3 linked regions of the Alligator mississippiensis genome follow. The protein of the gene in region 1 binds, or shares a complex with, the protein of each later gene. Links are inferred from orthologs where the notes say so. Each region holds a gene or a part of one and is shown in the gene's direction. Other genes may lie near its edges. The genes, in order: KCND3, KCNIP2 and KCNIP1.

Region 1 (9,748 bases):
CCGAGCCGGCTCCGGGCTCCGGGCTCCGGGCTCCGGGCGCGGGTCCGCGCGCTGCTCCCGCCGCCGCGCGAGGTAAGCAGCGCCCGGCTCTGCTCTGCTCTGCCCGCGGCCGGGGCCGGGGCCGGGGCCGGGGCCGGGGCTGCCCGGGGCCGGCGGGGCAAGCAGGCAGCGCTGAAGTCCCGCGGCAGACTCCGTGCCGCACCCCTCCCCCCGCCACATTAGCATGCAGGGTAAGGGCTGGGGTGTATTTAATGCCTGCGCTGGCGGGTGTCTCCGTGGCAGTGCACGCCGCCTCGCTGCAGCCCGCCGGCCGGCACTGGGCGCGGGGCGCGGGGCGCGGGGCCGAGGGAGCGAGCGCGCAGGCAGCCCCCGCGGGCGCCCAGCCTGCCCCGGCAGCCGGAGCGGGGCTGGAGGGCGGGGAAGCGCCGTCACGGACCAGCCTGCCAGGGAGAGACTCAGCCAGGCTCAGCAAGAAGAAGGAGCCGCTCTTGAGTCATCGACTTTGCCCGCGCTGGCTGCATTGCTCCTTGCTCCTGCCTGAGCTGAGGCGGGGAGTGGAGGGACAGGCAGGCAGGGCAGCCCAGCCTTTCCCACCCGCCCCCCAGCCCCGAGCCCCGAGCCCGTCCCTGCCCGCCGGCGCGAGCAGCTCTTTCCTGGCCAGGTAAGGCACGGCGGGGCCCCGGCGAGCGGGGCTCTCCTGCTGGTCTGGGCACCGAGGGAGGGGAGAAGTTTGCATGCGTTTCTACGAAGCCTGTTGCTGCGGCTGCCCGTGCTCCTGGTCCAGAGCTCGCACTGACTCATCAGCTGGCAACATTTGGGCAGCTTTTAGGATGTGCTGGGGCGGCGAGAGGACGGGAGTCTGGGCTGGGATGCAGGTGCTGAGGCTCGGACTGGCAGGTTTCGCTTTTCGATGCAAAGGGTTTTTGTCTGACCCACATCAAGATGAAAAGGGGAAAGACACACAGCTCCCCTCTCCGCCCAGCTACCAGCTCTCATTAGCGAGTCGCATGATGTTTACCAGCCTTTTTTATTATTCTTATTATTATGATTATTATTGCTAAGTTATCCTTGTCTGCTTCCAGAATGGAAAGCACCGTGTGATTCAGGGTGTTTCTAACTAGAGGACGTTACAAGAGGCATCTAGGCAGACTGACATCTCTGGCAGAAGTTAATGTGATGCAAATCCATCATGTATATCCTGAGCCTCTGAGTGAATGCACATAAATATATGTTCGCAGAAGTTTCTCTCCAGTGCATTATTGATCCTGCCGTGCATGTTGGTTTTGTGCGTTGAAATAGGAATCAAATCATTGCCAAGCAAAGCAAGTGCAGGTCAAGGACCTGAGATGGATAGACAAAGAAATGGATGGAGAATTCCTTAAGGAATTGGGAAAATTGAAAAAAAAGGCTTTGCTTTCAGTTTTGTTGACAGCGGTGTGGTGGCATGGTCCTTACCTCCGGAAAACACGGTCTGTTTGCTTCCTTGCTGTTGACATTTGGTTAAGTCAAAAAGCCAAATCCTTTTATCTTGTACACAAGCTCTTCTAAATACCATCAGCAGGCTGCTGATCCTTTGCTAACTAGTTTCTGCCAAATTATGCATGGGAATTAGCCAAGTAACATTTGAAATAAGGATGTGTCTGAATGTGTGTGTGTGTGTGTGTGTGTGTGTGTGTGTGTGTGTGTGTGCCCTTTCACTATAACACACAGCGCAGGTTGTGCTAAATATTTCTACCCTGCCAGCTGCTTGACACAGTAAGAAAGGAATTATTAATGTTACCCTCTGATCCCCGACTCAGTTTGCAGCAAGACGAGGTGGCTAATCAATGAAATAGTTGCATGTCCTATCACCCTAGACTTGAAGGGCACAATTCACAGGCATAGATGCAACCTCTTTTTCTCCCGCCCCCTCATTTCTCATGGACTGAAGACCTGTGAAAAGAAGCCGTCCCTAATGATAACGATATTCAGTTTTCCTTCCTCCTGTTACTACCCGGTCCTCACATACTGATACGCTCCAAAAATCCGAGCACCGAACAACTCTCACGTGTTAATCTTTCAAAATGGCTCTAACACTGAGTATTGGAGAAACAAATGGGACTAGATTACAACAGATTTAATGAAACTTTAAAAATTAAGCCTCTAGCACATACAGAAGGAACTTTTCTGAACTTCAGCCACATCTCTTCAGGCCACAGAGACTTGTAACTGAATAATACACTTTTATGGACAGCCTATGTAACCATCTCTCTCTCTTTTCATTTATTTATTTATTTATTTATTTTGTGGCCATTTTAGAGCTTACATGTTTAATTTTTTTTTCCCACATATGCTGTCAGTCTGGAAAGACCTTTTTATCTTAAAAATGGTCTTAAAATTGGCAAGACATTTATGAGTTACCAGTCTCTTATTTGAAACAGGTTTATAAGGAGCATTTGTAGTGTGCCTGACAGCAGTGAAGTGAGCTAGAATTTGGAGTCAGGGCTCTATGAAGTTCGAGTTGGACTTGGAATAAGATTCCTGGGACAGGTTTTGAGAGAAATAGAGGATCCCAATCGCTGTTACCGAGCAGAACCAGCGATGTACCACCCATTTCCAACCAATCCCCAGAGGATAGCACCAGTGTCCATAAAGCAAAACAGGGGACTGAGTGGCTTTGTGCATCAGTGACTGAATGCATAGCCTAGATGCCTTGGTCCTAAATCTACATTCAGGTTGGGTGGGTAACAAATGAAGTTAATGGCATTTTTTGCATTGGTGATGGCCACCCTTTCACTTCTCCACTGCCCAGTGAAAGGTGGCACTTTTGTTGGCTGGTTCTGTCTAGTCCCTATAGGGTCTCTCTTCAGCTAAGGATCGAAGCATATTTTTCCAAGTGGCATGGAGAAGTTTAAGCTGCTGTCATTTGCTGTTCTAGAGCTGTCAGTCTGGCATCTTTCAAGAGCCATCTTTAAACTAAGGGAACCATATAATGCATAGTGATCTCGAATAAACCTGCATGGTAAAATACCATGGGGTCAGGATTCTGCAGCTAGGGAAAATCAGAGAGATGCATCACAATGGGCTGTTGCATATATCATCATTACGAAACCTCTTATTGCAATGGTTGGAGGGTTGCATCAGGACAATTGACAAAACTTCACAGCGAGATGCTTCATACTATCAATATGATGAGTGATAATGCATAATACCCAGGGAGAGCACCATTTTGAGAACAGTTCACTAAAAGGTTTCACCACAGATTCATTCTGCTATCTTTCATTCAGTGTCTTGTGGCCTATTAAGATCAATAGTGCTATAGCACCAGCGATTGGAACGGTGCTGTTCATACAATTAAGATACGTCACGGTGAAATTATGTAGAGAGATGTTAGGTAGTTCAAGCAGTGAGGTTTCCAGCCTTATCCAGTGAAGCCAAAGGCAATCCTTCTATTGACTTAATGGACTTTGGATAGTCCACAGAATATCTTACTCAAATAATTGGACAGTAATTAAAATACAAAGGGAGTGAATGAAAACTAAGGTTAATAAGGTGAAAGGTCTGACTGAAGACCCAATGGAACAAGGAAATGCGGGTCTGCTGTAAATCAGAGTCACCGCATTGATTTTAGCAGAGCTAACCCAGTTTAAACCAGCTGAGGAGCCTCGGAGCTGTGGACATTTTTCTTTCTTTAGATGGGCCTCTAAGTATGGCAATGATAACAGGCTTGTTCCTTCACTTATTCAAGGACTTTTGCCTTTGTTAGTGAGGAAGCAATCAAGATAATCCTCGCAGGCTGGTAGCCGACCCTGTTAAAGTTTGATGTTTTACCTGTTTTGGTCTGGCATGGTTTAGATTTTGAGTGGGCGCGTCTACGTGTTCATTAACGCACATTAAGTTTAGTACTTGGTTAACCAGGTACTAACTAAATGCACAATAATTCACGCTACCGTGCAGTAGCGCTGGCTCATGGTTTTTCTGTGACACTTACTGCGCAGTAGCTTAATAACACTGCACAGTAGCATATTTTATTCTATATTGGCACGGTTTTTCACCGGCATGCTACTGCGCAGTGTTATTAGGCTACAGCACAGCAAGCGTCTCGTGTAGCCTGACACTACGCAGCGTGCCCATCTTACACACATGCACACGCTCACCATGCAGACTACCGAAGCTCAGGACTTCTGGGCAAAGCTGTCATGCCCTGAAGAGACCGATTTTTCCTCTTGCCCACTGGAATGGTGCAATATTTCACTGTAGTAAAACTTGTCTCAAGGAACTACCCAGGGGACCAGCAAAAAAAGCTGTTGCCTAGCAGAGGTTTTTAACTAAAGGTTGAGCAAAACTGTACTGCAAACCCTGGAAGATTTCAGAGTCAGTCTTTGATGCGAGCTACCAATGGGCAGTCTGTAGTGCTAGCTTCGCCGCATTCAGAGCTTGCTTTTTATGAGAAGTCCAACTGGGTCCATTTTAGGTCTTCGGCCACAAGCGTTTCCCCTGGTAAACTGCCAGTGGATTTCACCAGAGTTTCCAGCTCTTTCTTGACAGCTGTAGTCAGAACGATAAATGCATAAAGCTTACACCTGTGGAATTATGGATTCGTCTTGTTTGTAAGGAAGCAAATATAAATTAGCGTGTTTATGCTACTTTTAAATACTTTTAATGAGGAATCATTTGCCATTCAAAACTTCCATCTATGATAATGCTATAACCTTCCCTTGTTGATTATCATGCATATCTTTTAATAGTCATTCTTCTAAGCGGGGGCTAGCACAAATTAGCTCCTCTGTTGCTGTGGATTCCCTCAAAGATATTTATCCAGATAGTTTTAGCAGTCCCTGGGCAAGACAGCCCCAGCTGACCTCCTGCTATATTTTTATTTTATTTCATTTGTAGATGGAAATGATTTGACTTCAAACGGGGCCTAAAAGCAGCAGAACTGTCTTCTCCGATAACAAGGAAGGCCTCGAGCCATCATGGCAGCAGGCGTGGCAGCATGGCTGCCTTTTGCCAGGGCGGCCGCCATAGGATGGATGCCAGTGGCCAACTGCCCCATGCCACTGGCCCCCACGGATAAAAACAAGAGGCAGGACGAGCTGATCATCCTGAACGTGAGCGGGCGGCGCTTCCAGACCTGGAGGACTACCCTGGAGAGATACCCGGACACTCTTCTGGGCAGCACCGAGAAGGAGTTCTTCTTCAACGAAGACACTAAGGAATATTTTTTTGACCGGGACCCTGAAGTCTTTAGGTGCATCTTAAATTTTTACAGAACTGGCAAGCTGCACTACCCGCGATATGAGTGCATCTCTGCCTATGACGAGGAGCTCGCCTTCTACGGGATCCTACCTGAAATCATTGGGGACTGCTGCTACGAAGAGTACAAAGATAGGAAGCGGGAAAATGCCGAGCGGCTGATGGATGACAACGACTCGGAGAACAACCAAGAAGGGTCCATGCCATCCCTCAACTTCCGGGAGACCATGTGGCGAGCCTTCGAAAACCCCCATACCAGCACCTTAGCCTTAGTCTTTTACTATGTCACCGGCTTCTTTATTGCCGTCTCTGTGATCACTAATGTGGTAGAAACCGTCCCCTGTGGCACGGTGCCGGGGAACAAGGAGCTTCCATGTGGGGAGAGGTACGCTGTGGCTTTCTTCTGCTTGGACACAGCTTGCGTTATGATATTCACCGTCGAGTATCTTTTGAGACTCTTCGCGGCCCCGAGTCGCTACAGGTTCATGAGGAGCGTGATGAGCATCATTGACGTGGTGGCCATCATGCCCTACTATATTGGCTTGGTGATGACCGATAATGAGGATGTCAGCGGAGCCTTTGTGACGCTACGGGTTTTCAGGGTTTTCAGGATTTTCAAGTTCTCCCGCCATTCGCAAGGCTTACGAATCTTGGGCTACACTCTGAAGAGCTGTGCCTCTGAACTTGGCTTTCTCCTCTTTTCCCTCACTATGGCAATCATCATCTTTGCTACAGTGATGTTTTATGCAGAGAAAGGATCCTCAGCTAGCAAATTCACCAGCATCCCAGCTTCCTTTTGGTACACTATTGTAACCATGACAACTCTTGGGTAAGTGTTGCATTTTCTTTTATTAGGCCGTAGACAAACACGTGCTAGTTGCGGAAGTTTGGTTACTTTTTGAGGGTAAGTCTTTGTTTTTCTCTTAATAGTATGTGTTGCTAGGGGCTTTAGGACTGTTACAGGCCTGTTTCTCCTCTGCCTGGCACTTCTGCGGGCATTTACACCTATGCAAAGTGGTCACAAAACATCAAGTTTTGCAAAACAGTTTGCAAACGCTTGACACAACTGTGAGCGAGTGCAGGAGAAGCAAGGCCGTAGAGATGCAGGCCCTGCCATAATGGCCTGGTAGCATTGCACCTGCTTTGCATTCAGTGTTCAGACATGGAAATGGTGGCACACGGCACAAAGCAGTGGAAGGGCAGGACTTCTGGTTCTTTTCAGACGTATTTAACCAACCTATTACTCAGATACAAAATCACTGAAGTCATTGCTTAGTTTTGTATCTTCAGCCTTTACTGTAAATGATTTGACAGCTTGGCGTGCGGGTACCGGAGGCTTGCTGAATTCAAGCAGATATTGCGGCCAGTTGCCTTAGTGCAGGTATTTCCTGAATTACAGGACAGGCTTTGCTTGTTGTTATCTGAACGGGAAATAGCCCTTTTTGCTGTGTTTACCTGGGAGTTACAGAAGTTGCAGTAGTAATGGCAGTAATCTGTAGCCATTACAGTAATGTGCGAAAAGCTCATATGGACAGGTGCAAATAAACGGCATAATCACAAGCAGGGGAAACACAGCCTGGAGGACTCTCTCTCCCCCCCGATATTTCATTTCTCTCCCGTTGACATTACAGCTGTTTCTGCAAAGATTATAGATGTGTGTTTCTGTCACGCAGGACTGAAACCTTCCTGAAAGAAAACAGACTAGCCAAACACTCGCTGTGACAGGCTTGTACCAAGTAGAGTAATCTTCAGAGGTTGTAGCTGCAGGCGCTTAAAGTTGCACAGTCTAATGCAATCTCTTCATTCCATAATTCATAATCATGTGCTAAATTTTAATTTACTTTGCAAAGAGCTTTCCTGCTGAGGAGCTCAATGAGTTTTATATTTGATCTCAGATGAGTCTCTCCTTTTCCTGTTTCCTGTTTTAAATACTTCCCTTTACCTATTAGGCATAAAAAGGCAGACAAAAGAACTTTTAAAATATTCAAATTGTAACTCAGCTGTCAAGAAGTGGCAGAGTGTGGGCCTGTGACAGCTGTACGTTTTGGATTTCTTTGGCAAATAAGAGCATAAAGCATATCTGCCATGAGAACCGAAGGAGATGATAATTTCCCTAGCCTTGAATATGCCCGCAGTCTGGCCAAAACCTGCAAACTTGGATGACTAAAGTTAGGCTCCTCCACCCCGATCGGAGTATTTCGGTAGCAGTGGCCTGCTCTACTTGCAGCTCCTGAGTTTAAAATGTCGACTTTCTGCAACTTCCAGACTCGGACTCCACGATCTCATCGCCACCGTGTCCGAGCAGCTCCCAGTAGTGCATTAAGCAATGTGACTAATATCTGTCACATTTGTTCTCTCCTGCTCTCCCCAAGGGGAGGAATGAGCAGTGGAGTGTTTCTTCTTGGGTTTGTTTAAGGCTCTGAACACACGCGCAGGTTGCTGCACGGTTGAGTTAGAGAAGGGAAGGCCCAGGAAAACACTAGGTAGGCATTAGGCAACCAAAGAAATCTAGTCTAGGCTGAAGTTTACTTACTAGCCCACTTAGCTGAATGAAACGGCCTCTTGCTTGTAGTACCTTTTCTTTCTGCATGTTTTGATAGAGAAAAAAAACAGACCGGTCCTGAGTACTTTAAAGCGTTCTCAATCTATGGCAATCATAGGCATTATACTTGAATGAGTGCTTTAAACAGGTTGACAAGAATAAAATAATTACAGGCATTGAAACAGGACCTTGTAAGATATAGCTGGAACAAAATCTATTTAAGCAATGGTAGCCATCTGCAAAATATGACTGATGCGATGAAGCATGAACATTCACCTTCATTGTTTTGGGGAGAAGGGAGATGATAATTAAAATACTTTGCCTTAGCACATAGCATGTTTGCTGCACTGCCGTGATGGGGCTGTTTTTATAGAGTTGTGTCGTTTGAGACATGCAAAGCGTCGTTTGGTAAGAGAGCAAAGACAGAATCCTGGGCTTGCTTACTCACCCTCCCTCTCTCTCCTCATCTCATTTATAACATGCCTGATTGCCTGTCACTTTGGTCTAAGAACCGAGACCTGTTGCTCTGCAATTGTTTGCTCCAATCACATGCTAGAAAAGCCATTACTGCAAGGTACAAGAAAGAGCAACTTTCATCAAAGACAGGTTCCTCCGCCCCCTCCTCCCAGATGGGCGTGTGCCAGACACAACCATTGCAACCCATAAGTGAATGCACTTACACAAGAGTTAAGGCTTTGCAGACTCCCTGCTGGATCGGCCTCAGAAAAAACACCTTGGCGTGTCCAGCTGAGCATGCACGTGTGGTATGTGACCCGTCTGTGGTGCTGCCCACTGCACACGCCGCACATGCAGTGCTCCCTGTGCCGTGGGGTTTGGACACCAGCAGATCCTGGTGTCAAAAAAACTTATGCCTATAAAAAGTGGGGTGGTACACATGGTGGCAGTGCATGCCGCCCAAAACTAGAGCCTGGCTCCAGCTGCCAGCCAGGCTCCTTGCTGCCGAATCGTCGTGGCTGCAGCCCCCAGACACCCCCAGGATCCCAGGTAAGGCTGCTGGGGCCATCCCAGGTGTTGACCCCAGCCTCCCCTACCCCACCCAAGGCAACATGCCCCACACCGGAGCATGCATGTATGAGCTTTCCCCAGGGACAAGTAGCAGCAGCAGCAGCACATATTGTGCCACTATTGCTTGTCCGCGGGGAAATGCATGTACCTGCTCATGGGGACGTGCTCCTTGATGGCTGAAGAGCTGCTGTTTAGGGCATAGTTCAAGTCCCAGCTGTGGTGATCAGTGTATATATAACAAAGGGCAGCGATGGGACAGGGTGCCATGAACAAGTTCCCACTGCTCTGTGGCCGGGGGGGGCCCAAACAACAGTCGCTACTCCCACGTGGATGCAATTATACAAACATTCGGGAAAAATACGTAGAAACAAATCATTTGGATTCAATTCATTTCTACCTTTCCCATTGAAATACTGACTGAGATTACATGATGCAGGTGGTTAATGGAGCCAAAGTCAGTTAACAGGAAAGGGACAAGGTTTAAAATAAAGGGGAAGAGGCCGTCTCAGCATCCCATTTCCTGCTAAAAGCAAGAGCCTGAATTTAGGCACCTGTATCCATTCAAAGCCCAGGTGTGCAAACCTTATCCGTCTGTTGTGAACCCCAGTTGTGCTCCGCTGTGCAACTGGGACGCGACATCCTTCGTTTGTTCATAGACATGAGCACGTTCTGGTAGAAAAGAGGAGCTTTGAGGAAACTACAGGTCTGCTCCCGGGGGTGCAAGGAGACTCTGGTTTCTAGGTAGGAGATAAATGTCATTGATTGAGCTGGAGGGATGCTGATGGATGTACAGTGCATGCAGCTTTTCTAATTTGTCTCTGTCTGTCAGAGGCACGGTGCACTTCGGCCCTACTCTCACCTGGTCCGTAGAGAGGGGACGCTGTTCCTCTGGAGGATCTACCTACACAGATGTGAGCGTTCAATAAGCTGGCTATGCTAGATTTA
Region 2 (10,636 bases), on another chromosome or scaffold:
CTGTGTACATGCAAGCCTGTGCTCTGTGGGTGTGTGTGTAAGCATACACTGGGGGGGTGTGAGCACATGCTTGGTGCGTGTGGGGCCTGCCCAGGGCCCCACAGGCGTGTGCCCAGCGAGTGTGCGAGGCGGCAATTCCCTCTGCTATGGCTGCCGTGCCGCAGGGGGGAATTAATCGGGGATACTTTGCTGACGTGAGCAAGAAGTAGAAGCCTCCTGGGACTGCCAGGGCCTTGCTGGGCACCAGAGCAGCTCCCGTCACGGCCCCCGGCCCTGCTGCCCCATGCCGTGGGGGCTGGGGGGTCACTGCAAGACCTGCCCCTGCCCCGGGGACCCGGGACCTCCCAGCAGCTGCAGCCTCCACAGCTCCTCTCGTTGCCGAGCCCGCCCCATGCGTGGCAGGGACAGGGTTAATCCGTGGTGTGTGCCTTCTGTGTGTTCTTGGCATGTGCACTGGGCACTGCCAGGGTGGAGCAGGCCGGCCCTGTGTGTGCCCCATGTGTGCTGTGGCCCCAGGCTCAGGGCTCTGCCTTCACGGTGGCAGCACCGACATGCGTGTGCGGTGCCTTTCCAGCACTGCGGGGGTTAACACAGCTGGATTTCCCCGTGCTGCAGCCGTGTGCAAGGCGGGGGGGGGGGGGGGGGGGCACTGGAAGGAGCCCCAAATCTAGGGCAGCTGCTTTTGTTGAGCAGGGGCGGGGGGCTGCAGTGGGCCACCGCCTTGCCCTGGGAGAGTGCAGCCCCATGCCTCAGTTTCCCCCTCTGGGAGAGGCTGGGGTTGGGGGGGTGCGTCCCAGGGGGTGTTCCCTGAGCCGAAAGGTGCTTGCAAAGCAGCGCTGCTGCTTGCTGGCAGTGACGGAGCAGGTGTAGGCGGGCAGCGTGTGCGGCAGTGTGGCGTGTGGTTGTGTCTGGTGCGTGTTCATGGGGGGGCGGTGGGTGGGGGTGTGTGCTAGGCGGGCAGGCTTGGATGATGCAGTGTTTGTGCGTTGTGGGGAGCTAGAAGTGTGTGGATGTGATGCGTGTGCATTTGTACCACCGGTGATTGTGCAGGTGTATGTGCGTGTGCTTGGCGGGGGGGGCGCGCACGCACGTGTGTGTGTGTGTGGCAGGGTGTTGCATGCCATGGTGTTTGTTCATCACGGGGTGCTGGAAGTGTGTTCACACGGCATGTGTGTGTTCATGCGGCTGGTGTTGGGGGAGCAGGTCTCCACGTGCACCTGTGTGTGCGTGTGCATGTGTGTCAGGGCACTGGGCGCAGTGGTGCTTGTGCATCATGCGGTGTTGGAGGTGTGCGTGTGCACATTCCCCTGGAGGCAGTTGTGTGTGCATATGACACCGTGTGTGTGTGGTGGGGTGCTGGGCTCAGTGGTGCGTGTGCATCGTGGCATGCTGGAGGCGTGCATGTGCGTGTTCCCACCCAGGCTGTGTGTGCACATGGTGCAGGGTGTGTATGCTTGTATGTGCAAGTGGCATCGGGCCCCACATGCCCTGCTGCTGCCTCCTGGGGGTGGGGGCGCCGGCTGGATCAGCTGCAGCCAATGCCCCCCCTGCAAATTGCCCTGGGGCTGGCTCTCCCCCTGCACGGGGGGCTGCAGACCACGCTGGGGGGCCGGTGGCTCCAGGTTGTGAGCCCCCCACCATGCTCCCCTAAGTGGGTGTCTCCACCCCTGTACCCTTGGGACCCTGCAACCCTCCCCTAACCCCCCCCTCCCCCGGCATCCTCCTGGGTCCCCGTGGGAAGCTAATGCCCCGCTCAGGGCGCGTGGTCCCGTCCCAGGCTGCCCAGCTCCCCCCAGCCTTGCGGGGTGCAAAACCCCACCCCAGCTGGGCACGGGCCCTGCTCCTCCAGGGCAGACTGGGTCCTTCCCTGCCCCGGTGGGGGTGGCCTCCCTGCCCCCCCCCTCCCATGCCCTGCACCGTGTTTCCCCCCTCCCCGCGCCCGCTTTGCTGTCCTGGCTTGCTCCAAACAAAGGGGGTTCAGGGCAGCGTGGGGGGGCTGGGGCTGGCAGTGCCCGGGAGGTTTGAGGCTGATGCTTCCTGTCTCCAGGTGTCCGGCTCTGTCCCGGGGGCTCTGGGGCCTGTGCTGGTCCCTCCTGTGGCTGCACTCGTGCACATGTCACAGGCTCCAGGACTTTGCTGGGGGGGGGGGCTGATAGGACCCCCCTGGCCTCCAGAGACCCCGGCCTGGAGGCCTGGCTGTGCTCGGGCTGCAGCCTCCAGCCCCTCGCAGCCCCAGGCCCTGGTCCCCGTCCAGCCCAGGGCTCCTCCAGGATGCCCCCTTTGGGGGCTTGGGGAGGGGGCCGCAGAGGGGCGTTGCGAAGGAGGCAGGAGGAGACGTCCCTTGGGTGAGCGGCTCCCAAACCCCCCAGTTGGCTCCTCTCGTTAGCGGCGGATTCATTAGGGGAAGTGGCTGGGCTGGAGCTGAGCCAACCTGGGCGTCCAGCTGTCGGCAGCTGCCTGGGGAGATGCAGGCTGGGCTCCTTTCCACTGGGGTCCCCAGTGCGAGCAGGGGCAAGGGGGGGCATGCTGCCTCCTGAGCTCCCTGGGTGGGTTTAACTCTCCCCGATGCCAGGCGGGTCGTGGGAGACCGGCAAAAGCCACCCCAGCGCTGGCAGGTGCTGTCTTCTGGTGCTGAACAAGGAGCTCTGGTGGGCCGGGAAAGGGGCAGCTGCACGTTCTAGTCAGGGAAATACGGTAAGAGCAGCTCCCAGACCCCGCTGCCTGGCTGCCGGGCCGCTGCTTGGTGACTGGCAGCTCAGGAGAAGCCTTTTCCTGCCAAAATCGCAGCTCTGGGCGTAGTGCAAGCGTGTTGTATGCGAGGCACTACAGTAGTTGCCCTTCTCGCATGTGCCCCCAGGTGTGTGTGCACATGTATGGGCACTCGTGTATGCACAGGTGTGTATGCACACGTGTGAGTATACACTGCGCTGCAAGGGGGGGCATACGGGTGTGAGTGCCCATGTACACACACGTGTGCGGGCATGGGAGTATGGGCGAGGGCAGAGGCTGGCAGCGCTGATGGATGGGCCTGAGGTGAGCGGACAGCAATGGAGCGAGCGGCTGCAGCAGCTCCCTGCCCGGTGCCGGCACACGCCTTGGCCCCACTGCGCTGGGACAGGATGCCCGGGGGCCTGGGCAGCTCGCAGCCCCCAGACATGCCCCATCTAGCTACTGTGTCCTGTGCGCTTCCTCCGGGGGAAACCGGGCCGTGGGTCTGGGCACCTCGGGGGGCTACGTTCTGCGGTGGGGGGAGCAGGGTGTCTGGGAATCCCCTGAGCTGCTGGTGTATAGGGCCTGTGACACTTGCAGCCAGCCCCACCCTGGTCAGGAGAGGTGGGGCTGGCACCCCTGGTCTGGCTCTGGCTGTTGGGGTGAATTTCTTGTAGCCGGGTCTTACAAGAGCCGGGGATCAGACCCTAAGCGGCCTGGGCTTTGAGTGAGAGGATTTAAGGAGGAGGGGAAAGGCTGGCCATTCTGGGCCTCAGTTTTCCCCAACTGTAAAGTGGGTTTCTAAGTGAACCTGCACATGCTGCCCTCTGTTGGTTGGAACTGGAGCTGCCCTCCTGCATGCCATAGGCCCTATATTGCTGACCTGGTAGTGATTCTCCTTTAGCTCCTTTGGAGTCTGCCGTGGGGGTGGGGGTTGCTGTGGCTGCACACGCAGACGTGTCCTGGCTGGAGGTCCGCGGCGACCCTGGGCTTTGGGCACGAGGGCTCAGCCCCGTGCCAGGCTGGTGGGGGCCTCCCGAGCCCCCCACAGCTGGGGCGGCCGGGCAGCCTTAATCACACCCGCACCTGGGCAGGAGGAGCCAGGAGCCGAGCTGTGTTGCTGCTTAATTAAATTGCTGCGGAAAGCGAGCCATTAGCGCTTCATTAGCGGGAGTTAATCACCACGGGGGTCTCCTGGGTCCCCGTGCAGTGGCTGGGCTGGCCCAGGAGTGCGTGTGCATGGAGGGGGCCGCAGTGGGGATGCGGGGGGCATGGACGCAGCGTGTTCAGGTGCACACGTGTGTGCATGCACACATGAGCTGTGGAGGGAAGGGCTGGATTGTCCCTGCTTGGCGTGTGCAGGGGGAAGGGTGTACATGTGTGCACGTGTGCTACTGGCAGGGGGGGGGCTGTGTTTTCTACCTGGTGCGTGTGCACACGTGCCCCTGGTGTGTTGCAGGCCTGGTGCAATAGCGGGGGGATGTTTGTTGGCGCTGTGTGGACGTGTGCATGCAAATCAACCTCCCCTGGGGGTGACCTGGTGCCCGGGCCAGGCCGGCGGTGGGGCGATACAGCGTCCTTCGCACCAGGCGCCGGGAGCTTTTGCCCATGTCTCCCTGGCACGGGTAGCGCCGCTGGCCCCGGGCACCCCTCTCTCTCATGCACTTTTAACGAGGGCATTAGCAGGAGCGAGCGGAGCTGGGAGAGCGGGTTTGCCCCGAGAGCCGGACGTGCCCTGCGGGAGGGCGCATCGGGTACATGTGCCAGGGGATCTCACCTCGGCCCTGTGCTTCCACCAGGTCACGGCAGCCCCCTGCCCCTGCCGGGCCCGTGGTGGGCAGCAGAAGCCGGTGTGGCCTCAGGGCCGGGACTTCCTCGTGTGGCTTGCAAGAGTCCCCTCCCCTGTGTGTGCCTCAGTTTCCCCATCAGTGCTTCCCCCGCCTTGTGGAGAGGGGACAGGTCACCCCATGTGCCCCGGCCTCGTTAACACACCCCGGAGCCTGCGGCGAGTTCCCTCCAGTTCTGCCCCTGTTCCTGTTGGCCGTCCGTCGGCCTGCAGCTTGGATCCTCCCCAGAGGCAGCCGCATGGTCCCTGCCTGGCCCCGTCTGGGGGGGGGCCTGTGTGTGGGGCTGGATCTGGGGCAGGACGGGTCCCTTGGCGTGGGTGTGGAGAGTGCGCCGTGCTCAGCCGGCGGGGCCCGGGCGCTGGTCTGGGCTGAGATCTCCCCCCAGCTCCCCCGTCCCGTGCAGGCGCTGCGAGGCTGCACGTGGCAGGGGCAGCAACAGGGGTCTGTGCACACCAGTGCACACGCGTGTGCGAAGGGCCCGCGTGTCCCCGGCTCACCCTGCACTGCTTTTTGCGGGGCTGGGGCTCCCTCGTGTGGCCGCTCGGGCCAAGGGCACCAGGTGCCAGCGCCAGGCTGGATGGCACCAGGGCACGGGCCCGGCCCGAGACCCCCGGCTGAGGCTGCCAGAGCCGGGGGCCAGGCCGCCTGGGTCCGAGCTGCCCCTGTGTCCTAGGCCCTATACAGCTGCCTGCTGGTGGTGATTCTCCTTTAGTTCCTGCAGCCCAGTTTGCCCTGGCCAGGGAGCATCTGGGCTTTGTGGCACATTGGCAGGGGGGTCCGCGGTGCCCATGGCTCTGCTCCATGGGGACCCAGCTCCGTGCCAGGGCTTTGGGCTGGCAGAGATTGAGGGGTTGGGGTTGGGGTTGGGGGGCTCCTGCTGGGGTCTGGGGCACATGAGCAAGCAGGAGGCAGGAGAATGAGTTGTGTCCCGTCCCCCCCACCCCTGCTTCCCCTTCACCAGGTGGGGAAACTGAGGCAGGCAGCAGCCGGCTCCACCGCTCTCCTGTCCCGGAGCTCCACCCCCGTGCAAGGCATCGTGGGGGCTGTAGTCGCCCGTGGAGGGGGGGGGGGGCTGGGCTGCAGCGAGGGATGCTGGGGAAGGGGCTGGGAGATGGAGGACCTGGCAGTGCGGGGCTGGGGCCGGGGCGGGGGGATGCTCTGTGCCCGGGGGCAGGCGGTGCAGGTTGCCCCAGCCCCATCCTTGGCCTCGGCATGGGCTGAGCAGAGGATGCTGCTGCCCAGGGGACCCGCGGAAGAGGAGGCAGCGGCTGCCCCCGGGGGCCACGGGGTGAGTCTGTGCCCGGCCGGAGCGGGGCACTGCCCGGGAGCCGTACCGGGGTGCTGGGGCCAGGGGGCACCGGCAGGCTGGAGCGGTGCTGCAGGGGGGCTGTGCCCCCTCCCCACCCATGCTAGCATGCTGGGCAGGGGGAAAGCCTGGGGTCTGCCTGCCCACCGCCCACAGGGCAATGCTGTGCGCTGCCCATAACAAGGGCTGATGCCTGAGTGTGCCCTTGGCACACATGGCAGGCCGTGTCGGGAGTCCCCATGGCGTCAGGACCATGCCCTGTTGCACATGTACAGCGCCCGGCGCGGTGACACCCGGCTCCGCGGCTCAGATTCCTCTGGAGCGTGGCGGCAGGTGGGGCTGTGCCTGCTTCGCCCTGCCTGGGGGGCAGCGCCGGCCAGCCTGCTGCCCTACACGGGCCTTGGGCACCTGGGAATCCCCTCTGTGGGGCAGGAGAGCCGCCCCCCAGCGCTTGTCATCCTTAGGCTTCAGACTCAACGCCCCGTGGCAGTAAGGGGGGAAGGCTCAGCCCTGGTTCTAACGTGCCCGTGGCGGTGGCCTCTGGGCGCTGTGGCCCAGCGCCAGCTGTTCCCTTCCATGGCTCGGAGGGGAGCCAGGAGGTCCCCGAAATGCCGCCGGCCTCCCCAGGGCACGTGGGCACCCGCCTCTGTGACTCCAGGACAGCGCAGCTCCTGGCGCGTCGCCCCGGGGCACCTTGAACATGCACGAAAGGAGGCGCTGCTGCCTCCGTGTGTGCACATACCAAGCACACGTGTGCCAGCCGTGGCCCGGAGCGTGCCAGGCCAGACCGGGGGCATCGAGCCCGGGGCCCTCGGGCTGGGCATGTCCGTGCCCCTGGTGACGGGAGGACGCCCCGTGCCTGCCCCGCACTGCCTGTAACGAGCAGCCGTGATTACCGAGCTGCAGCCCCTGGCGCTGGGGGCCTCCCCCACCCCTTAGGTGATGCTGCCTGGGAAGAGCATGTCAGGGGTGGTGGGGGGCAAGGACCCCCATCTGGGGGGCGGGAGGGTGCTCTGTACCCCTGCCCCTTGGCACCCATATGGGGCATGTGCCCCCCATCCACCCAGCCCAGCCCCAGCATCGTTCCTCCTGCCTGGGAGGCAGCAGCGCCTGATTGGTCAGTGGGACCTGTGGGTCCAGGCGTTGCCATGCCAACCGGAGAGGGGTGGCACAGGGTCTCGGCGGGCATCACTCCCCTGGCAGCCGCCTGCCCAGGGCCTCGCGCGTGCTCTCCGGCTCCTCCAGCCCCTTGCAGCGGGCACAGACGCCTTCCTAGTGCCAGGCCTGGCCCCGCACCGATGCCCGGGGACCTTTGGCTCCGGAGGAGGAGGAAGATGCCGGTGCCCAGCAGGCACCTGGGCCGTGCCCTGAGCTCCTGGGGGGCCACGGGGTCCTGCCCCGGTGCCCTGGACCCCTGCCGGCCACGCTGCAAGAGGCAGCTGGGCCGGGCCGTGCGTGGCTTGTACCGCTTCCTCACCGGGACCCTCTCCCCAGGTAGGCACCACCCCAGGTCTCCCGGCGGGCAGGGCTGGGGGCCACAGAGGAGGTGGGGAAAGCACGGGGGTCTCCTCATCCCGTGACTCAGGGCGCTGGGGCTTTCTCGGCACCCCCAGGCTCCGGTTTGGTCGCCCGCGGGTGGCTGCGGGTCCGGGCCCTGCCCAGTGCGGGCGTTAGCAGGATGCGGCCCCGGGGCAAGAGCCTCGCCTTCCATTACCCAGCGCAGCGGTGACTTCACCGCCCCAAAATAGCGCCTGGCCGGCTCTTCGCGCGCTGATTAATAACCCGCTCTGCGCGGGGGGGCTCGGCGCTGGCCTAAATTTATCTCTCTAATGGATGGGGCCCAGTGCGGGCACCCGATCAGTCAGCCCCGTGCCAAGGTCACGCCCGCGACCCGGGGCGCTGGGCATCCTAGGCTCTTGTGCCGATTGCCGGAGGGTCCCCCCAGGGCTGCCCCGTGCCGGGGGGGCTCGCGGTGCTGCTGGCTTTACCGACCGGCTGGCGGGTCCTTCTTGGGACCGCTGCCCCGCTCCGGGCTGCGGCAGGCGGGGGTGGCCTCCCGTCCTTCCAGCCCCCACCCCCGGTGCAGCGTACAGCTCCGTGCGCGGGGTCGGAGCCGCTCGGCCTGGAGCCCTGAGCTTCCTGGCATGGGGGCGGTATGGGGGCCACAGACGCATGCTCCCTGCCCCCCTCCCAGAGCTGGGGAGCAGGATGGGACCTGCTGCGAGCTTCCCCTTCCTGGCACTGTGGTGCTCAACCCCTGCCTCGCCCATCTCCGCTGGGCATCCTGCACAGTTTAGAGCAGCCTCGAGGCTGCTCCAACCTGCCCCCGGGACCCAGATGCCCCATCCTGGCTGGGGGCCCGCGGCTCCCCCGCCCCCCATGCCAGGCGGCCCCCCGGGCCCCGGCAGCTATTAATAGGTGCCGGCACACGCTGGCAGGATGGTAATTGGTTGGGGAGCTGGTGCCCGCCTCGCTCCCAGGCTCCCGCGCGCGGCCCGAGCGGGGGGCAGGCGGCGGCCGGGCCGGGGGCCATGGACAGGCCGGTGCCCCACAACGACAGCCTGCTCTACGCCGCGCTCATCGTCATCCTGCTGCTCATCTCCTACTGGTTCACCACGCGCTGCTTCAAGATCATCAGTGGCATCGAGGGTAGGGCCTTGCACACGCGCGGCCTTGCACACGCACGGGGTCTGCACTCGCCCGGGGCCTCTCGGTGGCCTGCCCTTGCTCCACATGTCCGTCGCGGATGGGAACGTGCCCCTCCGCCCCCTCTGCCCGTGCCTGCGGCCTCCAGTACCGGCCTCCCTGGGCCCGACCCAGATCCGAGCTCGATAGCGTGTGCGCGGCGGGGGGAGCTGGGGGGCCGGGGCTTGGAAGGGGCAGATGAAGGGCGACGGGGGCAGCTGGGGCAGTGCCGGCGCCAGGTGGGGGGTGGCAGAGGTCGGGGTGGCCTTGGGGCGAGGCAGAACTCGCCGCGGTCGTCATTAGTCTCCAGAGTTAACACGTGCTGGGGTGGATGCGCCAGGCTGGGGGTGCTGTGGGGAGGGGCGGGCAGGAGGGGTGCCATCGCACTGTGTTCAGGGCCCCTGTGCGACCCCCCCAGTTGGAGTAAGGGTAGGGGTGGGCCTACGGCCCCCCAGCCCTGCTGGCACCCCTCACTCCCGACCCGCACCCGGGGGTTGGCTGGGGGGGTCTCTGGACCTGCCAGCCCGGCTCCTCTGGTCTCCTGAGCTCTGCCCTCGCCAGCCCGCACCCCCCGAGCCTCGCCTGAGCCCACCGGGCCGTCTTGTGCCTCAGCTGCCGGCCTGGCTGGAGGCCCCGGGCTCCTGGGCTCCTTCCCCAGCCGCGCCAGGGCCCCCGGGGACTGGCTTCCCCCTTCTGTGCCTCAGTTTCCCCCCTGGGGCAGGGCGCAGGGACAGCTCTGGGTGCAAAACCTCTGCACCTCCTATGCTGGAGCTGCCAGGGCGGCAGTGGGGAAACTGAGGCAGCTGGGGCAAGGTAGACCCGGGTGTAGGGGCTGGGGAGAGTGGGGGCCCTCGAGCCCCTGGACGCCCCCCCAGTGCCACGTGGGCCCGTGGGGGTGCTCTAGGGGTGGCAGCGAGGATCTGTGGCTGGAGGGGCTGGGCTGAGGGGGGCTGCGGGGCGGGAGTGAGGGCCCTGCTGCCCCCAGCCGCTCCCTGGGCCCGTCGGCCTCGCCCGTCTCGGGTGCCACGGCCTGGCGGGGAGAGCACCGGGCTTGGCTCGAAGCCCTGGACTCCTGGGGTCCTTCCTGGCTGCCCCCTTCCTTGCCTCAATTTCCCCCTGGGCAGAACTAGATCATGGAAGCCCCCCCGGGCCTGGTGCGGGGATGGGGGGAGCAGCCGCGCCCCGCTGGCGCCCCGCAGGCCCCTCACTCCCTGCCCTTGCCCCTGCTCCCTGCTGTGGGAGGGGGAGGCCTGTCCCCGGGGGGCTGGGTGCCCAGGTGACCCCCAGCGGGGCTCGGGGACCCCTGGGCTCCCTCCAGGCTGCTGCTGGGGGGTCCCCCGTGCCCCTCGCCCCCCCGCACGGCTCCTCGGCCTCCTGGGCCCGTTCCCTTGGCAACCAGTGGAGCAGATCGATGGAGGTGGTGTCATTGGTCGGGGAGGGCCGGCTCCGTCCCCCCCCCGTTCCCCAGCCCAGCCCCGCCGCAGCCCCCCCGCAGTCCTGCCTGGGCGCCGCCGCGCTCGCACGCCCCGGGCTGCTCCGGCCCCTGGCACCGGCGGCACCGCGACCCCTGGCGTGGGGGGGGGCCGGGGCTGGCCTGGGACCCCCCCCGGAGCGGGGCCATGAGTGGCACCCACCATGAACCTGGAGGGGCTGGAGATGGTGGCGGTGCTGGTCGTCCTCGCGCTCTTCGTCAAGGTCCTCGAGCAGTTTGGCCTCTTTGAGCCCGTCGTCCTGCTGGAAGGTACCGCGGCTCCGGCGCCCGCAGCTCTGGGGCTGGCACAGCCAGGGGGCACGGGGCTCCAAGTGTGCGTGCGTGTGTGTGTGTGCATCCCGCCCGAGACGTCCTGCCCCACCGGCCTGGCATGGCCCTGCTGCAGGTGTGCAGGCGTGGAGAGGATGTGTGCAAGTGGGACAGGTGTGTGTGGCATGGGGGTGTGCACGTGTGGGACGTGTATATTGCTGGGGCAAGGGGTGCGGGTGCTCTGTGTGTGTGCACGCGTGTGCACAGGGCAGGGCGGGGGTGCTGTTCCATGCCCCGTCCCTGCCAGGACAGGTGGGAAGGGCCCATCCTGGGGGCGGGGGTGCCTCT
Region 3 (10,099 bases), on another chromosome or scaffold:
GGCTGAGGCCGGGGGCCAGGGGCCAGGGGCCAGGGGCCAGGGCCTGGGGCCAGAGGCCGGGAGCCAGAGGCCAGGGGCTGGACCTGGGATCCAGGGGCCAGGGACTGAGGCCAGGGGCCAGGGGCTGGAGCCAGAGCCTGACATGGGCTCCCCAGCTCCAGGGAAGTGCTCCACTCCTCTGCATCAGGGCTGGGCAGTGGAGCATTTCCCCGGAGTCGGTGGAGCTCGTGCCAGCTGCCCACAGCAGCCTCCATCCTTGTGTTGCCTCACCTCGGGCAGGAGCTGCTGCCTGCCCCGAATGAGGCTTCGCCAGCTCCGGGACACTGCTCTGCTCCCCGGCCCCGGCCCCAGGTCCTCCCCAAGGTGAGGCAAGGCAGGGATGGAGGCTGGGGTGGGGTGCTGGCGCGGGCTCCAACGGCTCCAGGGAAGTGCTCCACTGCCTGGCCCTGATGCGGGGGAGCGGAGCACTTCCCTGGAGCCAGGGAGCCCACGCCAGCCCCCTGCCCCAGCCTCTCCTGGTGCACAGCCTTGAAAAGGCTGTGTATGGCCACACTTTTAGTTGTGAGCGGCCACACATGTGCACACCTTAGAGGGAACCTTGCTGGTGGGTCACTCCTCCCTGCCTAGTTCAATCAATGTTCCTGGACAGCTCGGGAGCAGACTCTGAGGAAAGGAACCTGAGACTGCCACTGCTACTGCCAAGGCAGTCACTAGCCAGGCCTGGCTTTATGTGCAGCCTGCTGTCACAGGACAGAAGCAGCTCTGGAGCCCCCCCACACTTGTCTACAGGTCATCTGTGGACAGCAGCAGCAGTAGCAGGCAGGTGAGGGACTGAATGGGAGAGGAGGGGAAGGAACATGCAATAGAGTGTGGAAGGGAAGGGATTAGGGAGGAAAGATTCTTATCTGCTTCAAGGACTTAATTCTTTGTTGCTGCTCCTATGGTACAATCTGCCTGCCCTCATATCTGGGGGGTGAGAAGGAGTGGGAGGGCAGGGGGAGCCAGTGCAGCTACCCCCACAGCACATGTTGCTGATCCGGCACCTCCAGTTCCAAAATTATGGATCCACCCATGACTCCAGATGATCCAGACCTCTGGGGTTATGGGAAAAGTGGGGAAAATTATGTTCCTTCCGCCCCCCCCCCACCTCCCCCAAGCAGTGTTACCTGGAGAAAACTTTCTGAGGGAATCTAAGATTGGCAAACCCCAAAAATGCATAAACTGTGAATCAAGGCCCTAAAACCCATAAAATAGATTTAGAAATCATGAGAAACAATATATTTTGAATAATTTTTATTGAAGTGTATTATATTTTGAGTTCTTACATTATACTAGGATCACAATTTCAAACTTTTCTCTGTAATCATGGGTGTGATTTTTTGGGTTAGGTGGGAGGGTTAATTAGAATGTGAATTGCAGTCACAAATCTTTAGGAACTGGGACTTTAAGTCATCCATTACGTAGTGTGAGATTCATAACACAATTATAATAGGTGGTACCATCAGGAGAACCTACATTTTCCTGTTTTTCCCGGGTAAAATGTCTAATAATCCCAATTATCCATATTCTTAATCCAGATGTAAATTAGGCCAATTTTAATTGGGTTCACATGCCACAGGGTTACTAACTAAGGAAGAGATGGAGAATAAACTATTCCAAAGAACTGTATGCTGACTATGCATACCATATAAGCAGGGTGAATAAATCGTAAGGAATAATGTAAACAAAAATGTTTACCTTTTTTGGTCCTTTGTCCATGAAGAGACTAGAATTTTCATGTATTTATTAATGGACAGGAATAGTTATCTTTTCTGTGGAAAAAGTCTTGGTCAGTTTTGTTCAATACCTTTTTACTATAAATGTACCATATTAAAATGATTATTTTTTTAAATTGGTTTTATAGATCATGTATGTTTCAGTTCCACCAATGCATATGAGCTCTCATGACCACGGCACAGGACATATTAATTCAAGATCATGTTAGCTAAACCTAGTACAGTTCAAACTAGCACTTCATAATCTTTTCTTCACTTTTCTGTTAAAGTTGGAAGATTAGTTCTGTGAATATGAGTGAGATGCATCTTTCCTTGTGCTAATGCAGGTCACTTATGTGAGTAAGTATAGTTGTGTGTAATCTAGTGTGTCTGTGAGCAAGTAAACACATTCACATTCTTGACTGTTGTACCCAAACAACACTCAATTACCTGGTGGGAAAGTGACAAGAGAAAAGGGAGTGCAAAGGCCACTAGACAGGTAATAAATCTACCCAACATCTTCCTCTCTTCCTCAAATAGAAAGTAACCTGCTATTTTAAAATGTGCTCCACAATCATAGCCAAATAAAATATTATTTTTGTACAAAACTGTACAGGACAAGATAAATGTTTTGATTCAGTAGAATCAGTAGAAAAAGCCAAGGTCATCTATTCAAGAAATAGCTTCATAACATGGGATATAATAACCAATAACACAAACCAGATATTGAACGCCTAATGGGACTGATGCTACCAATAGTGAATTAAACCCTTTAGTTTAAATATATTCTTAAATCAGATTGGGCCTCATTCTGTATTCACTGGAGAAAGACAAAGGGAGAGAGAGAGATTGAACAGTTATAGATCATTAATTTGCAGAAATCACAGTAGTTTCATGACCCATCTATATAGAGAAACAAGATCAAGTTCAGTCAATATTTTGTTCATAACTAATAGCTTGGGTAGCTTCAATTCTTAACAGTACTTCACATTTCCAATATGGCTTCTTTCTTAGAAACTTGAAGTGCTTTAAACATATTAACAGGGGTTTAGGTTGTAGCCGTGTTGGTCTAAGGACATAGGCAGACAAGGTTCCTTGGGTGAATTTGATATCTTTTATTAGACCAACAGGCTCCCAACTCAGTAAGGTGCTAGTAGTGACTATTTTTATCCCCTTGATACTAATGGAAAACTAATGCAGATAGTTACATGATCAAGAATAAAGTCATTATCAGAGCTGAAAGTAGGACCTAGATCTCCCAATACACACTAATTCTTGAACTGCCTGCCTGTGTTTCCAGTAGAGAAAAAGAAAAAAAGCCACCTCTTTTTCTTCTTCTTTGCAATTTAAGAAGGTGGGGGGAGAAAGTTAAAAGTTTTCTTTGCGTCAATACGTATAGTGATTAAAGATAAACCAGTTTTTGTTCTGTTTCCACTTGGATGTTTAATTGAAATACCGTTTTTACTCAAATCCAAGGTGAGATTTTTTTCCCCCTTTAACATGGGGTGACGAGTCCCTCATCTTGGAATTGGGCATGAGGAAGTAGGGTGGTAGATGGCTGCTACAGCTCCGGCACCAGCCCCAACCCAGGGTCAAGGTCAGAGCCACAGCTACTAGCTGCCCTCCCACTATCTTTGCTACCCCCCTCCCTGACTCCCCTACAGCCTTGGACCCACTAGTCCCACACAGACTCGGGCCCCAACCCCTTCTGCTTACCCTTGCTCTGGGTCTGGCGGGCTCCATTCACATTCCAGCCTGGGGAATGGAGCACACATTTGTTTTGGCCCCAGCACCACCCCATAGCGGTGGTGGTAGCAGTTTTGACCAGGCCCCAGAGCTGTCACTGCTCCTGTTGTTATGGGGCTGGGATGGGACAGGAGTAAACACATGCTTAGGGGTGGAGCCTGCCAGAGCTGGAGCAAGTGTAAGTGAAGAGGAGGGGCGGGGGCCAGAGGCTGCAGGGGGGCGGGGAGAGAGAGAGAAGGGAGACTAGAGGTTGTTCATGGGGCAGAAGTGGTGGGGAGGAACAGCCATGGGGCAAGAGGTTTGTGGCGGGGGTTGACAGATGGCAAGGGGCAGGGGTCAAGCCCCCCTGTATATCCAGGGCCAGGTCCAAGTGGGGCACAGTGACACAAATACGTACCCCTCCCAGTTGACCATGCTGCAGAAACAGCAGATGTAGACTCTTTTTAACCCTCCACAGCAAGCAAGAATCCTCCCTTCCCCTCCATGTTCAGCTGCACATTCTCTCCTCTCCCTCCCACCCCTCCCCCTACCTGCTGCTGCTGTCTCTGGCTGTCCCAGAGGCAGGAGGGGAGCTCCAGACCTGCCCCTGCCCAGTCTCTTGGTGTTCCCTGCTGGCCTGGGATCTGGTGCAAGGGAAGGGAACCCAACTGCTGCCACTGGTGTTAATAGGTGACCCTGGCTCCACAGCCAGTCTAGCTGGAGCAGGGCAGGGGTGGCTCTGGAGCCCCCAGTCCCTGGTTCAACCAGGGACAGTGGCAATGCCCCAGGCACAATTTACTCATCTACTCTCCCACTGAATAAAAGGGGAGTGATACTAGCTTTTGGGGGAAAAAAATACTCAGAGAAACATTGCAATAATGAGTTGTTATCCTGTGATATTAGGCCTGTAAACAAGATAAAGACAATTGCCCTCTTGAAGCCAGAGGTTGGGTCCCTGATATCTTGTTGTATTTTGCACATAGGGTAAGTACATTGTGTACCCATCTGGTACTTTGGTCCATATACACATGGATGGATCTAGGATTTTTATAAGTGGGGTCCAGATGGTGTGCTGTGCCATCACATTTAACACAGCACATTTTTGTCATGTTAAAAAGAAACAAAAATCTTTACTAATATTGCAGGGCCTAGGCTATATTATTCAGTTTAAGATCAAAGCAAAAACAAATATAACTTTATTAGAACATGTATTAATTACATATTTTAAAAAAACACACTAGGCAAGATGTTGTTTTATTAGTCCTGCAGTCAATAGAATGAAATGTATATGTCTTCTCATATTCGTGAAATAAAATCTTCTTGAGCATCTCGGCAGTGTATCCAATGCTTCACTGGAAGTAAGTTGCACACTTGAGCTAATGGTTTTAGCTAGAGGTAAAAGGGGTCTGCAAGGCTGTGAAATATGAGCTTTGTGCCTAAGTGCAGCTAACAGACAGCAGAACTACAAAAGAACGCGTAGCTAAATTAGTGGAATATAACACCTTTAAAAAGTGGAGAGGGTTGTTAACTGAGGAATGAAGAGTTAACAAGGAATCAGGTAGATTATAATAAACCATAAATTCAATTGATTCCCTCCCTCACTGCTGCCTAAATAGAAATGCTGCTGCCACTGCCAGACAGTTGGTTTTAAAGTTTGGCTAGACCAGGAATCAAAGGGGTGTTCACTGGTACCACCATAACACCTTGCCTTCACCTCTCCCCCACTCCCAGATCCACCCCAGCATATATTGATTCTAGCAACACATTGACATGTTATTTTGGTTTAATTGGTAGTTATTCTGAAGGGGCATATTTCTATGGTAATTTATGATGAGACCGGTATTAAACAAGCATTAAATATATTTAAAATTATTAAATATAACCCAAACTGTCCGTGTGATACTTACAATGCCTTAAGGCAACATTAAGAATGAGGGGAAGTGGGAGAGACAGATAAGTTTTCTTTACATGTCCTCCCCATGAAACTTTCTTTTTACTTTGTGTGTGGTGCAGAGAAAGCATTTGCAAAACGCATCTGTGTTGACAGTGATGCAAGGCAGACAGACAGACACAAATGGAGAAATTCACTGTTGGTTACACAGAAAAAATAATTACATGAGATATCACTGAGGTTACCTCCGCAGTGTTAAATTGTTCAGGTTCAGAGTAAACTCTTGGGAGAACTGCCCTGGAGAGGCAGAAACTAAAACCATAGATTACTGTTAAATGCAGAAATTGTTTGCATGAAGGAACAGAGAGAGGGAGGGAGAAAGGAGAAATAGAAATAGGGGGAGAGGGTGAGAAATGCACACATTCACAGGGAAAGGGAGGGAGGGAGAGAGAGAGAAAGAGAAAATGAGCAATACTTAGCTGAGCAGCAGGAAGGAAAGCTTGAAACAGATGAATTCCCAGCTTTAGATGTCTGCCAGTTGTTTTCCTAGCACGCCAGTGGTATCTGTGTGGTGCCTTAAAGGATGTGGAATGAAGGAGAGTCGGAGGGGCTTCAGACTTTGGGGATTGTGGTGGTGGTGTGCTCCTCTCTGAAACTTTTGCACTACCTTGGGCTAATTGATTTGTCAGATGGTAAGAGAACCTCCAAGCTTTCTATCTTCTATTTACCTTTATTTAAGTCAATATAGTAGCAGATAGGCTGAAGGAAGTAAAGCGTCATCTTTTCCATACTCTGATTTCTCATCATCATCTTCATATTTTAAGTGATATAGTGAGCGGTGCTAGAGTTATGCTCTGTGGTTTGTTTTAAAGGCTTTTGTTAGCTTTTGGACTTATCACAGCTGAGGGGAATTGTAAGTTAGGATTTTTGCCATAAGTGCTATTTTTCTTTTAGCTAATTATTAATTTTGTTTCACAGCATGAAATAAATCGGTCCCTACCTGGGAACAAAAAGTCTGTCTTGGGATAATAGAAGCACTGCTAATAATTAGATCAGTGGTTCCATATGATTCCCTAAAAACAATACTATTGTGACACTTGCAGTTTAAAGACCTGAAGAAAATAAATCTTTTGACTGTGTCTAACACAAAGGAAACTTTTCTGTAAGTATTTTTATTCTACATACTTCAGAGAAACCAAAGTAAACATAACAAATGAACACATATTTCTGATTTGAAGAATTATTCTGGGGCATTTGATCTCTCATCATCTTTTAAATTCAATAAAGATCTCTGTTTCCTTAGTTTTTTTTTTCATTTCTTTTCTTGTATGTAATGGGAGTGAACACATTTTAATTAAGTTAACTTAGGTTATCAGTATTTTCTGCCCAAACAGTGACACTTGTCCACATGTGAAGCTCACTAAGAAAATCAACTTCTATATCAAGCACATCATTTTTTTTAAAGAAAAAACTAAGAAACAAGTAGTCATTTTAAGATGCCTAGAAGTTCATTCCTGTGTAGATCATAAAGGTACCAAGTTTTGGTAACATAGGAGCAGTATAAAATAAAATCAGTTTAAAGACAGCAGTTTCTTGACACAGAGGTTACCTTTGAAATATGTTACATAAAACTGGCAGAAAGAATACTTAATGAAAATGAAGGTAATACATTCATTAGTATTTTACTTAACTCCAAGTTTCATCTTTTATTGAATTGTGTTGGGAACAAGGAAAAACAGTTTTAACCTCATATGTGCAAACCTACAGCCCTATAATGCAACCATGTAAGTAGATAATGTTCATTAACAGTACAATATAAAAATGTGGCTTATAGAAACAAATAATATTAGGGTCAAATATTTAATCTTTTATATGGAGTAACTTACATTAATGTTCATTTTTCCTATTAGAATGGATACATTTAGTTTATCATTATATAACCAAATTCTAATGACAGCTATATTGAATAAACTTACCAACCAATAATTGTTCATTTAAAATTATATCAGCATGGATAAACTTACCTAATAAAACACAATGCAAAAAAATGTACAATCAAATGCTGAGGCAGCTGCAACACTACTTCTTTAACTTTAAAGACATTTTTACCCATGCTCTACAGAGCTACTTAATGTTATTCCAACTTCCTTACAGATTACCCAGAACAGCTTGCACAATGTTTCTCCAGCCAAGGCAAATGATGGAGAGATGCAAAAGTTATTTATTCAAAAGTAAAGTGATTTTTAAATAAGTACCAATGTTTTTTCCTACTGAATATTGATACTTTAATGATCAAACAGTTGTTGGTAAATTGCTCTCACTAAACAAAACCTAGATTCAGATTTTTAACCAACATGCAACAAGGGTCATTCAACTCATTTGGGTGCTGAATATAGCAGTGTAGTCTCACTTTGCAGTGATCATTTTAATGTTATAACACCTTGACAGTCTAATAGGCCACCTCACAGTATATAAGGGCATTATGAACTAAACTAAACTCTTTGCAACTTTGATCAATTGCAACTGTTTTTTTTTTTCCTACAAAAAACATCCAGGCCAAAAAATGCATTAGACCATTATGGAATTGCATGACTCTTGGCTCCTTATTCCTGCTATAATGTATGTGTAGGGTGACTAAAGTTGCAGACTTCTAGCTCATAGAGATCTTTAAGGGTAGGGTTACACCTGTTCTTTGACCTGCTGGTGGCAACAATGGCAGAGGCGTATGAATGTACATTGCAGCAAAAATATTTCTAACTTGTCTTTATGTTCACTGTTCTTGTTTTACAGGATGTAAGCACTTCCATGTGCTGCTTGCTTGTGTATAATGCTACAATCAGAAACTGCACTGTTTAAGCAAATTAGGGTAGTTCCCTATTATCTGAAATTGGTTGTGCTCTTAGTTACTTTTAGAATTAGCATTATACTATCTCCTGCAGGTAAAACATGCTTATTTACAACCTGCTTATTTGTGCTGCTTTGGACCATGTAATGATCTCATGCAGATGCATCCATGCTAGGATTGACTGAAGTGAATGTAATTTTGGTGCAGATGCAGGGAGCTAAAAAGGCTTAGCTCATTATATGCTTTTAGTGTAAAGTCTGAGCAATTCCTACACTTGTATGAAACTTCATTAATGAAACCTTAAACAAAGGGAATACAGAGGTTGGCTTTGGAGTTCTTGTGTTCCAACCTGAATAGGAAGGATGGGAGATCTACAGGTCCTGATCTCCCTAAATTCTCCTACAGTGAGTAGTCCCTAAAAAATCACACTTCCTTGAAAAAGGTATTCATTTTGTTTTAATTATAAACAGATCCATTTTGCTTAGTGAAAAGGCAATGAAATTATTTGCTATAGCAACTTTTTCTGCAAAAGTAAAGCAGTTTGTGGGATAATAGTGAGATGAATTGCAATTTGTTTTGTGTTATCCCTGAACTCTTTGGTTACTATGCCCCTTGTGCACTTTGACAGCCCAGTGTTGCTCCATTGGTTCCCTACCTTCTTACGTTGCTGCTCATCAAGGGCTGCCCACAATCAAATCCAGAAAGAATGAATAAAAGTCAATGATTTGCTTCTAAGTGAGGTATAGGGATACAGTCATAATTAATGATTCACATTAAAAGGCGTTCAAGAAAACATTTTGTGAAATTTTATGGGAATCTATGCCTGTAGAAGGAAGGATCAAGGACCTTCCCCATAAATCAAGGGCTGTGATGGGTCTGTTTATGAGATTGGCTCTAGCTCTGCTTCTTTTGCTGAAGCATGCATCAATCATTTGGCTATCCTTGAAGTGCTGATAAATTTTATTTTTTCTAAATTAAAGGGATCCAAATCAAATATGATATGTGCTTTTGGGGAGCTATCAGCATAATCTCACTGCCAGGATGTCAAATACTGAAAAGTCGGTACTTTTTAAATGTACTATCTGAATATGGTGAGTCAGAGATTTAATTTTTTAGCATCGTGGTTGGCTGTCTTTGGTAGCTGTGATCAATTTTTTCACAAGACAAAATTGTAGATTATGAACAGAGATTTCTTGTTAGGTGAATAGGTTTCCCCTTTCAAGCCCTCATTATTAAAAGTAGCAGCTGTCACTTTTCTGTATATTACAGTAAGCTGTAAATACTGGGTGCCTATAGATGTGCTCATTTACATTTTAATTAGAATACTCCATTGTCACCTTACCATCACCTGTATTAAGCCCCTGCGCATTTTAAAATGGCTGCAGGGGCACTTATTCTATGAGCTCTAGATAGACCTTTAGATAAAGTGCCCCGCAGCCATTTTAAAATGAGCAGGGGCTTCATTTACATGATGGTGGGCCATTTTAATTGGAGCTGCTGTCTGGGAACCGCTCTAATTAAAACACTCCACCCCTATCCTCAAGCACATGTATAGGCAGCCAATGTGGAATGTATTATTGTATGACATCGTGGCAAGTATTTTAGTAGTCTTCCAAAATAATTAGATCCTAGATATGTTTTCCTGACATACTCAACAGGGGAACCAGTCTGGCCCAAAGCTATTCAAATTGTTGTTACCCTAATCCAGAGATGTTCAGGTCAGCACTCAGGTCCATCTGCAGGCCACAACTTGTGGTTTATATGGCATGTAGCCCTGGGCTGCTTAGAAGTTGGACAACCCTAGATTAGATAATCAACCTCACCCCACCCTGGTTTTAGCTGCTATTATCTCTGCTGTCTTTGGAATCAAGAAATAGATGATGA

What was found.
Region 2: the proteins of KCND3 (region 1) and KCNIP2 are in contact, whole or in part, in a cryo-EM structure (PDB 7W6S), measured with the Homo sapiens proteins. The link is inferred for Alligator mississippiensis from reciprocal best matches to the Homo sapiens genes KCND3 and KCNIP2. Residues at the interface, in NP_001365898.1 of Homo sapiens: Val5, Ala7, Trp8, Leu9, Phe11, Ala12, Arg13, Ala14, Ala15, Ala16, Ile17, Gly18, Trp19, Met20, Pro21, Val22, Ala23, Asn24, Cys25, Pro26, Met27, Pro28, Leu29, Ala30, Pro31, Asp33, Trp54, Arg60; in NP_775283.1 of Homo sapiens: Arg112, Gly113, Phe114, Asn116, Glu117, Cys118, Val123, Phe128, Ile131, Tyr132, Gln134, Phe135, Phe136, Tyr144, Leu148, Phe152, Phe165, Leu169, Ile172, Leu173, Arg180, Trp183, Ala184, Leu187, Tyr188, Met201, Met205, Ile208, Met211, His228.
Region 3: the proteins of KCND3 (region 1) and KCNIP1 are in contact, whole or in part, in a crystal structure (PDB 2NZ0), measured with the Homo sapiens proteins. The link is inferred for Alligator mississippiensis from reciprocal best matches to the Homo sapiens genes KCND3 and KCNIP1. Residues at the interface, in NP_001365898.1 of Homo sapiens: Ala6, Ala7, Trp8, Leu9, Pro10, Phe11, Ala12, Arg13, Ala14, Ala15, Ala16, Ile17, Gly18, Trp19, Pro21, Val22, Pro26, Met27, Pro28, Leu29, Ala30, Pro31, Lys34, Lys36, Arg37, Asp39, Trp54; in NP_001030009.1 of Homo sapiens: Leu67, Arg69, Gly70, Phe71, Glu74, Val80, Phe85, Ile88, Tyr89, Phe92, Phe93, Tyr101, Leu105, Phe109, Phe122, Ala125, Leu126, Leu129, Leu130, Leu138, Trp140, Thr141, Leu144, Tyr145, Ile161, Val162, Ile165, Tyr166, Met168, Met169.

What each region holds. Positions count from the first base shown.
Region 1 is NC_081837.1:44,250,033-44,259,780, reverse strand, and holds the start of KCND3 (potassium voltage-gated channel subfamily D member 3), read left to right. Parts: upstream 1-4,888; 5' UTR 4,889-4,955; coding exon 4,956-6,064; intron 6,065-9,748. UniProt on the Homo sapiens protein: Pore-forming (alpha) subunit of voltage-gated A-type potassium channels that mediates transmembrane potassium transport in excitable membranes, in brain and heart. In cardiomyocytes, may generate the transient outward potassium current I(To).
Region 2 is NC_081829.1:100,312,220-100,322,855, reverse strand, and holds the start of KCNIP2 (Kv channel-interacting protein 2), read left to right. Parts: upstream 1-5,704; 5' UTR 5,705-6,908; coding exon 6,909-7,356; intron 7,357-8,911; exon of another isoform or gene 8,912-10,182; coding exon of another isoform or gene 10,183-10,288; intron 10,289-10,636. UniProt on the Homo sapiens protein: Regulatory subunit of Kv4/D (Shal)-type voltage-gated rapidly inactivating A-type potassium channels. Modulates channel density, inactivation kinetics and rate of recovery from inactivation in a calcium-dependent and isoform-specific manner.
Region 3 is NC_081832.1:48,528,018-48,538,116, reverse strand, and holds the start of KCNIP1 (Kv channel-interacting protein 1), read left to right. Parts: upstream 1-5,619; 5' UTR 5,620-5,953; coding exon 5,954-6,062; intron 6,063-6,348; exon of another isoform or gene 6,349-6,532; intron 6,533-10,099. UniProt on the Homo sapiens protein: Regulatory subunit of Kv4/D (Shal)-type voltage-gated rapidly inactivating A-type potassium channels. Regulates channel density, inactivation kinetics and rate of recovery from inactivation in a calcium-dependent and isoform-specific manner.